Callithrix jacchus: one gene and its partner. The protein of the gene in region 1 interacts with the protein of each later gene in a biochemical or structural test. Links are inferred from orthologs where the notes say so. Each region holds a gene or a part of one and is shown in the gene's direction. Other genes may lie near its edges.

Evidence for each region.
Region 2: the proteins of LRP2 (region 1) and CLU form a complex in vitro, tested with the Homo sapiens proteins (3 studies listed by BioGRID). The link is inferred for Callithrix jacchus from reciprocal best matches to the Homo sapiens genes LRP2 and CLU.

The regions. Positions count from the first base shown.
Region 1 is NC_133507.1:60,359,193-60,362,499, forward strand, and holds the end of LRP2 (low-density lipoprotein receptor-related protein 2), read left to right. Parts: intron 1-579; coding exon 580-651; intron 652-833; coding exon 834-1,001; 3' UTR 1,002-2,546; downstream 2,547-3,307. UniProt on the Homo sapiens protein: Multiligand endocytic receptor. Acts together with CUBN to mediate endocytosis of high-density lipoproteins. Mediates receptor-mediated uptake of polybasic drugs such as aprotinin, aminoglycosides and polymyxin B.
Region 2 is NC_133514.1:14,087,882-14,092,406, forward strand, and holds the start of CLU (clusterin), read left to right. Parts: upstream 1-1,642; 5' UTR 1,643-1,728; coding exon 1,729-1,873; intron 1,874-2,163; coding exon 2,164-2,242; intron 2,243-2,422; coding exon 2,423-2,547; intron 2,548-4,238; coding exon 4,239-4,387; intron 4,388-4,525.

The DNA.
Region 1 (3,307 bases):
TGTAGGACAATAAGTGTACCTACCTCCAGGAGTTAAGAAAACATCAGAAACTGGTAAAACTCTTAGAATAATTCCTGACACACAGTAAGCACTCAACAAATGTTAGATGTTTTTGTTATTATTATGATACAGGAGGGAATGATGAAGGGGGAAGGGATACAAAGAACGTACTTGTAGAGAATAAGAGTTATAGTTTATCTCTGCCCAATTTTCAGGCAGCCCCAGAAATCTTTTTTTCTCCAGATGCACCTTGTATGTGTCTGTTTTATGTGTTCTCTCTGTAGTGAAGTAGCCAGTGATCTGCTTGTAGACATTATGGCACAGATTCTGTAAATTATAAATTTGAAATTAAAGAAGTATCTAAAACCATTTGATGAAAAGAGCCTGGGGAGTTTCAGTTACTGTTCAGGGACCATAGGAGAAACTGAAAATTTACCACATGGGCTCAATCACGTGGTCCTAAGTCCCAAATTGCTTTATCCTTCAGTAAGAAGAGATTTTAAAATTGAGACAGGAAGAAGAGAAACTCACAAAATAATTCCATTACTGAGAGAGTTTTGTTTTCCCCTTTTCATTTAGGTGACAAAATGGAATCTCTTCAGACGAAAAGCTAAACAAACTACCAACTTTGAAAATCCAATCTATGCCCAGGTAATTTTTAACAATTTTTCTTAGCACAGACATTCTTTCTTAGAAATTATTTGCTTGGTTAAATTGGACACACACTTAGATTATTCTGAGCAGAGCGGCCACAAACTGTCTTCTTTATGAAAAATCATGTATGGTTTCTTTGCGGGAATAAATGGCTGATCCCTGCTATGCTGTGTTCTTAGATGGAGAACGAACAGAAGGAAAGTGTTGCTGCGACCACACCTCCATCACCTTCGCCCCCTGCTAAGCCTAAGCCTCCTTCAAAAAGAGAGCCAATGCCAACCTATTCTGCAACAGAAGACACTTTTAAAGACACCGCAAATCTTGTTAAAGAAGACTCTGAAGTATAGCTATACCAGCTATTTAAGGAATAGTTAGAAACACACTTTTGCACAGATATTTTTTACAAAGAGATGAAAAAAGTCAACATTCAGTACTTTATGAAAAATATATTTTTTCCTGTTTGCCGATAGTTGGAAGTATTGTGTGTGTCTTTTTTTACTTATGCCATCTCATATTTTTACAAATAATTATCACAATGTATTATATGTATATCTTTGCACTGAAGTTGTCTGAAGGTAATACTATAAATATACTGTATATTTGTAAATTTTGGAAAGATTATCCTGTTACTGAATTTGCTAATAAAAATGTCTGCTGACTCGGGTAGTGGTCATGATAGTCAATGATCCAACGAGAAAAGGAATTGACTTGGGACCTTTAGCCGTGTCTGAAGAAGAGGCACCGCTCATATCTCCTATAAAATTATCTAGGAAAGGAGTGCAGACTCCATTCCTGGGTCCATTTTTACACATTAGCGCTTAATGTTCAATATTACACGTCAGTTTGATTAATGGGTATATTGATAAGGGCCACTGTGTGTTATATAGACATCTGAACTTGACTGTAGACTCCTCAGATAATACAGAAGGTAGAAAAAGCAATTCAGTTTGGCCCTTCTGCATGTTGGCATTGTCTAACCAGAACCCTCTGTTTCATGTGTGTTCTCTCACTTACTGCCAAGGCAACATTTTTATTTGTGATGTCTATGAGGAAATCCCATATCATTAAGTGCCACTGTCCTGCATTGAGTTTGTAGTTAATTAAATGAGCTCTTCTGCTTGATGGACCCTGAAGCAATCTCTGCCCTCACCTGACATCCGAGGTGGTCACCTACCATAGTAGCTGGAGCTCAGTAGCTAAATTTCTGAAACCAAATCTGTGTCTTCATAAAATAAGGTGCAAAAAAAAAAAAAAAAAAACCCCAGTTAAGCAAAGCCTCAACTGGGTTTCTGTTTCTATGAAAATATCATTGTAATCACTATTTATTTCCTAAGTTGAACCTGAATAGAAAGGGAAACCATTCTTATTAAGCTTTTCCTAGGCCCTTTGGCTAAATGTGTACATTTATATTCGAATGTACTGTACAGTCCAGATCTTCTCTTTAATTTTTATTGCTTTTTTAAAGAGCTGGGGTCTTGCTATGTTGCTCAGGCTGATCTTGATGTCCTGGGCTCGAGTGATCCTCCCACCTCAGCCTCTTTAGTAGCTGGAATTATGGGCATGAGCCACTGTGCCCGGCTTCCAGCTCTTCTCTTAAATAGTGGGCAGGTGTAGTCTCCACAACAGGAACCATGGCAGGAATACACACTTTCCCATAGCAAATAGCATTCCTGGCTCTCTGTGCTAATATTGCACATTTGTTAAACAATGAATGAATGGATGGATGGATGGATGAATGAAACATATACTACTGATTATTTTATTCCAGCTTTCTCAAAATATTTCTTGCTCATATTTTGAGTGCTGATTGTAATTACTTTGAAGTGTACTTTGAATAGACAAACAACTGGAAATTATGCTGCTGAAAAATTTCTAATAAATGTGTATTTTATCAGATGTTTTCTGTGTGCTTCATTAGCCCCAGTCGTGAATCAGTTGTATTTGCTGTGTAAAAACTTGAGGCTTTGCGTGCTCTCAGTAACACCAGTTCTGTACCACTCCTTCCTGGAAGTGAATCCAGAGCGATTTGATTAAAAATTAAGCTTCTGCATTCATTTTGTATATGTCCATCATAGTCTGGTATAAATTATAGGAAACAACTCTCCAGAAACAAGTAGATATCAGAGTCCCAAGTAATCACCGGTATAGCCAGTCCTTGAATGCTGTCCATGGCTAAGGCAGACCAGGGAGAAAGGGTATATATTTCTGTTTCTCTAATAACTAACAGTCTAACAGTCATTTGTCAACAGTCAAATGTCTAACAGTCATTTGTCAAGAGGACAATTTCCCAGCCAGCTCCTTTCTGCATAGGATGTGGGCCATCTTCCTGCCGTTAAGCTCTCTGAGCCTCAGCTGTGGCCTCTGTAAAATAGGGGGCTTTGTTGTGAGAGTCCAATGTGGCAGTGTATGAAAAGAGTGTAACCCAATGCCCAGCATAAGGTATACCCTCAGTCAATAGAAGCCATGACTATTATCATTTATGAAGTAAAGGGAAACTAGAACAGCCATTTAGGCGTTTTTAAAAGTTCCTTGGGTGATTTAATGCAGAGCCTTGGTTGAAAATGACGATTATAACAGAAATTGCTGCTCTTTATTTTTTAGTGGAGGAGGTTACTCAGGTGAACGAGATTTTGCCTGGGCCTTTGAAATGATG
Region 2 (4,525 bases), on another chromosome or scaffold:
GGTCGGGTGGTTTCAGCCTTCTTGGGGAATGAGGCTGCGTGCTAGTGCGTTGGCCTTGGCCTGGCTCCTCCGCCCAGGGCAGCTGGCAGCCAGGCTCCCAGGAGGCAGAGGAGATGAGTGGGGAGATGAGTCCGAGCAAAGGAAGGGAGGTCGGCTGTGCAGCCATGGTTCTAGAACATTCCTCAGATCAGCAGCATCCATATCACCTGCAGACTGGCTGGAAAAGCAGATTCAGACTCAGAACTAACATTATAACCAGCCTGCAGTGATTCATAAGTACTTTAAAAAGTGGTCAATCATTTCATCAAAGCAGAGCCACACAGTCCGGGGGACCACAGGTGGCCTCTGTGTGCCTGCCTTGGTTTCCCTGCCCCTCTTTAGACATGTTGGTTAGACACTGCCAATGCCAAGCCTCAGCCCTCAGACTAATTTTGAAGCAGTCGGGATTTACTATCATTACATAAGACCCTAGTGTTTACAGAATGTGTTCCCCTCTCTGAGGTCTGGATTAGATCCATTTTACAGGCGAAGAAACTGAGGTTCAGATATTTAAGTGACTTGGAAGCAAGCAAAGAACACTGGGCTGTGGGGGTTGGGAGGGCTGGGCTCTTATCCTGGGGTTACCACAAGCATGCTGTGGGCTATGGGGAGCCCTGTGCCATCTATGGGCTTCAGCCTCCCCACTAAGGTAGATGGGTTGGGTGAGAGAACGACTCCCTTCCCAGCTCTGAGCTGGATGGCTCACCAGGGACCCCAGGCTGTCTGGAGCAGACTCTGTGCCCGCTGCTGAGTCTGGAACTTTCCTGCATCTTGCCTTTGGCTACCCTGTTCTTCAGGGCCCAACACCCTGTCTTCTGGTCAGAACCTAGGTCTGAATGGTTTTTTCCAGAAGTTGTTGCTTTCAGGGGCGCCTGGCAGAGGGGTGTTTCTGGCTGCTTTTGTGTCTCTGGCATGACAAAGGCTCCTGCTGGAGGCATTTCAGGGCTCAGTGGGCAGCTGGGGCACAGCCCATGAGACCAGAGCCTTCCTGGTGATCCTGGTCTCTGCCACCCACCCTGTCTCTGGGGAAGGCGCTGACCCATATCTTCTCCCACGCTGCCCCCTGGCTCTGCGCGCCTGATTACTTCTCATGAAAGGTGCTCCTTATTAATGTCCTACCGAGTGTCCAGATGGGCCTGTTGGGCTGTGCTGGCTTTGGATGTGAACCATTTCAGGAAGGGGAACCCCACCTTCCTGTTGGTTCTGTTATGGGAAATGAGTGAGCTCAGATAAGCAGTTTCTGGGAGGGGCGATGATGGAGAGGGTACAGGGGGAGGGGTTTCTGTTTTATGCAACAGCCTCAGCTTCTGGGAAAGGGTCCATTGTGTAAGACCAGGGTTGTGGCCTGTGCCCCTTGGCTCAGGGTAGCCAGCCCAGTGGTGGCAGGAACACTGGCAGGGCAGCCTGCTGTAGGCTTAGAGGGATGGGCCGTGTGGAGGGCCTGGCAGAGCAAAGGGACTCATCCTTCCAAAAGGACTTTCTCTGGGAAGCCTACTCCTTGGGCCACTGTGAACCCTCTGTACTCTTAGAAGGGAATTGTCCTTCCTGGCTTCCACTACTTCTACCCCTGAATGCACAGGCAGCCCAGCCCAAAGCTCCCACTAGGGATGCAGATGGATTCGGTGTGAGGGCAGCTGCTGCTGCCTCCGGCTCTTGAAAATCAAGTTTGTGGGCCGGGTGCGGTGGCTCATGCCTGTAATCCCAGCACTTTCGGAGGCCAAGGTGGGCGGATCACGAGGTCAGGAGATGGAGACCATCCTGGCTAACACAGTGAAACCTGGTCTCTTAAAAAAAAAAGAGAGAGAGACAGAAAAACAAAGAAAATCAAGTTCAGGTAGTGTTGAGACTTCCGGGGGGCTGCGGCGCTGTGGTGGATGGGGGGGGTGTCTGCTGGGGGAAGATATGGAGGCACATCACAGAGGACGGGGCTGGTCTCTGGGATGCAGTCCCTCTGTGGAGGTGGCATGCGGAGGGACGGATACGTGACCCAAGGGAGATATTTTCAGTGTGTGACATGATCGACGCCACTCTGGACAAGGAGGCCGGGATGCAGAAAGCCTGTGTGCCTCAATGATTGCAGGGGAGGATGTGGCTTGGAAAATAGCCCGGCTCCTCTGATGCCAGGGTTCTTGTTTCCTCCACTGGATGCTGCTGTCCTGCGGTCCCTCCCTCCTTGCACTTCCTGCCATCGCTTTCTTTTGAGGTATCCATGGCAAGTCTGGTCCTTTCCCCCTGTTTCCTCAGGGATAAAAGTGCAGCAGTGCTAGCTGGGGGGACAGCGAGGGCGGTGAAACCCTGGGGAGCTGCTGCAGGCGGCAGGTGGGCAGGATGCCAGCAGGCTGTCTAGCTGTTCCCATGACGGTCTCCTGTTTCCTGCAAACAGAGGCGTGCGAGGACTCAGAATCAGAGGCATGATGAAGACTCTGCTGCTGTTTGTGGGGCTGCTGCTGACCTGGGAGAGTGGGCAGGTCCTGGGGGACCAGTCGGTCTCCGACAATGAGCTCCAGGGTGAGTAGACCAAGTATGATGTTCCACAGGGTGGTGAGGTCAGAGCGCAGGGCTGCTGACTCCACTCAGGGCCTCTCTATCACGCCCCGAGTGTTACAGACCATTTGATCTAGTGCACTGGATCTGGGTGTCTGTGTCTGGACCCCCTCCGAGCCTCAGCTCCCAGGCCTCTGTGGGCATCAGGCTGTCGGCATTTGCAGGCAATTCCCAAGCCCGTTCTGGCTGCTGCATTTCATTCAGCTGCTCCCTTCCCAGGCCCCTTGGCCCAGCTCCCAAGCCTCCTCCATGAAGCTGTGTCTGGACCGTTGGAGCTCTTATCCCTCTCCCGTTTGGAGTTTGTCCCTCCTGGGAGCTGACCGCTTCTGCAGGATCATTGTTAAAAACCCCGATCAGGCCAGGCTCAGTGGCTCAAGCCTGTAATCCCAGCACTTTGGGAGGCCGAGGTGGGAGAATCACAAGGTCAAAAGATCAAGACCATGCTGGCCAACATGGTGAAACCCTGTCTCTACTAAAACTACAAAAATTAGCTGGGCATGGTGGCAGACACCTGTAGTCTCAGCTACTCCGGAGGCTGAGGCAGGAGAATTGCTTAAACCCAGGAGGCAGAGGTCTCAGTGAGCCGAGATCTCACCACTGCACTCCAGCCTGGGTGACAGAGCGAGTCTCTGTCTCAAAAACAAAACAAAACAAAACAAAAAAACCCCAAGTCAGACCTGGGTGTGAGTCTGTTCCACTTCTTCTCAGTTGGGTGACTCTGAGTCACTCTCTTGATCTCATGACACGTTCCCCAACCCCTGTTTTATTGAGATAATGAACAAATAAAAATTGTGTATATTTAAGGTATATGACATGATGTCTTGAAATGTACATACATGGAAATGATGACTACTTTTACAGTGGGGCGGTAGGAACGCTTAAAATCTACTCTCAGCGAACTTCCCGGTACAGTATGGTGTTATTAAGTACAAGCACCACCTGTATGATAGACCTCCAGGACCTACTCCTCCTGCCTGACTGACACTTGGACCCTCTATCGTACCACACTTCCCATGTCCCCCTCTGCAAAGTGGGCATGGTAGTGGGGCTGGAGCATTCTGTAAACTGCACATGAAGTGTTTGGTGCAGTGCTCGGCATGGGATAAGCACCAGTGAAGTGGCACTTAGGGGACACAGTGTTTCTCTGCATCTGTCACCAGTGCTATGCCTTAGTCATTTCCTCATCTTATTTCTGTCACCTGGCACTGTGCATTGGAAAAAAGAAATACACATCTGGTTAAACTGAACTCTAGAAAGACTTGTGTCCAAAATAACAATATTTTATATTTTGATACTTCAAAGCTGACCACTTCTGGGTTTTTAAAAAATATTTTTCCTTGACAAGTTTCTTCTGCACCCGGCTCATTCTCCAGGGGCACATGGCAGTGGCTGGGCACAGCTCTGCCGTTTCCCCCGGGGTGTACCGGCTCCCATGGTTTGCAAATCTGAGCAGTGAGAGCAAGGGGCCTGTGATGGGAGCCTGTGTAGGTCAAGGCTGGGACTGTGCTGCTGTCTGCGGGGGGGGGGTGGGGATCCCAGCCTTGACAGCCCCTTAACTGAACGGGCCTCTCTGGCCATTCCTGCTCACTCCAGGGTTATATCCCGAGGCCATCCCTTCCTCTCACCTCATGCTACCTCTTGCGCTTCTCTTGCAGAAATGTCCGATCAGGGAAGTAAATATGTCAATAAGGAAATTCAAAATGCTGTCAACGGAGTGAAAGAGATCAAGACTCTCATAGAAAAAACAAATGAAGAGCGCAAGACACTGCTTAGCAACCTAGAGGAAGCCAAGAAGAAGAAAGAGGTCAGGAGCCGAGAAGGCTGCCCAGCCTTGACCATCCCACCAGAGGGAGGGGAGGAGGGAGGGGGTCACAGCACGGTGCCTTGCTGGGTTGCCATGGTGACCCACAGTCCTCCCAGGCTGTGTCAGCTGATGCCGAAG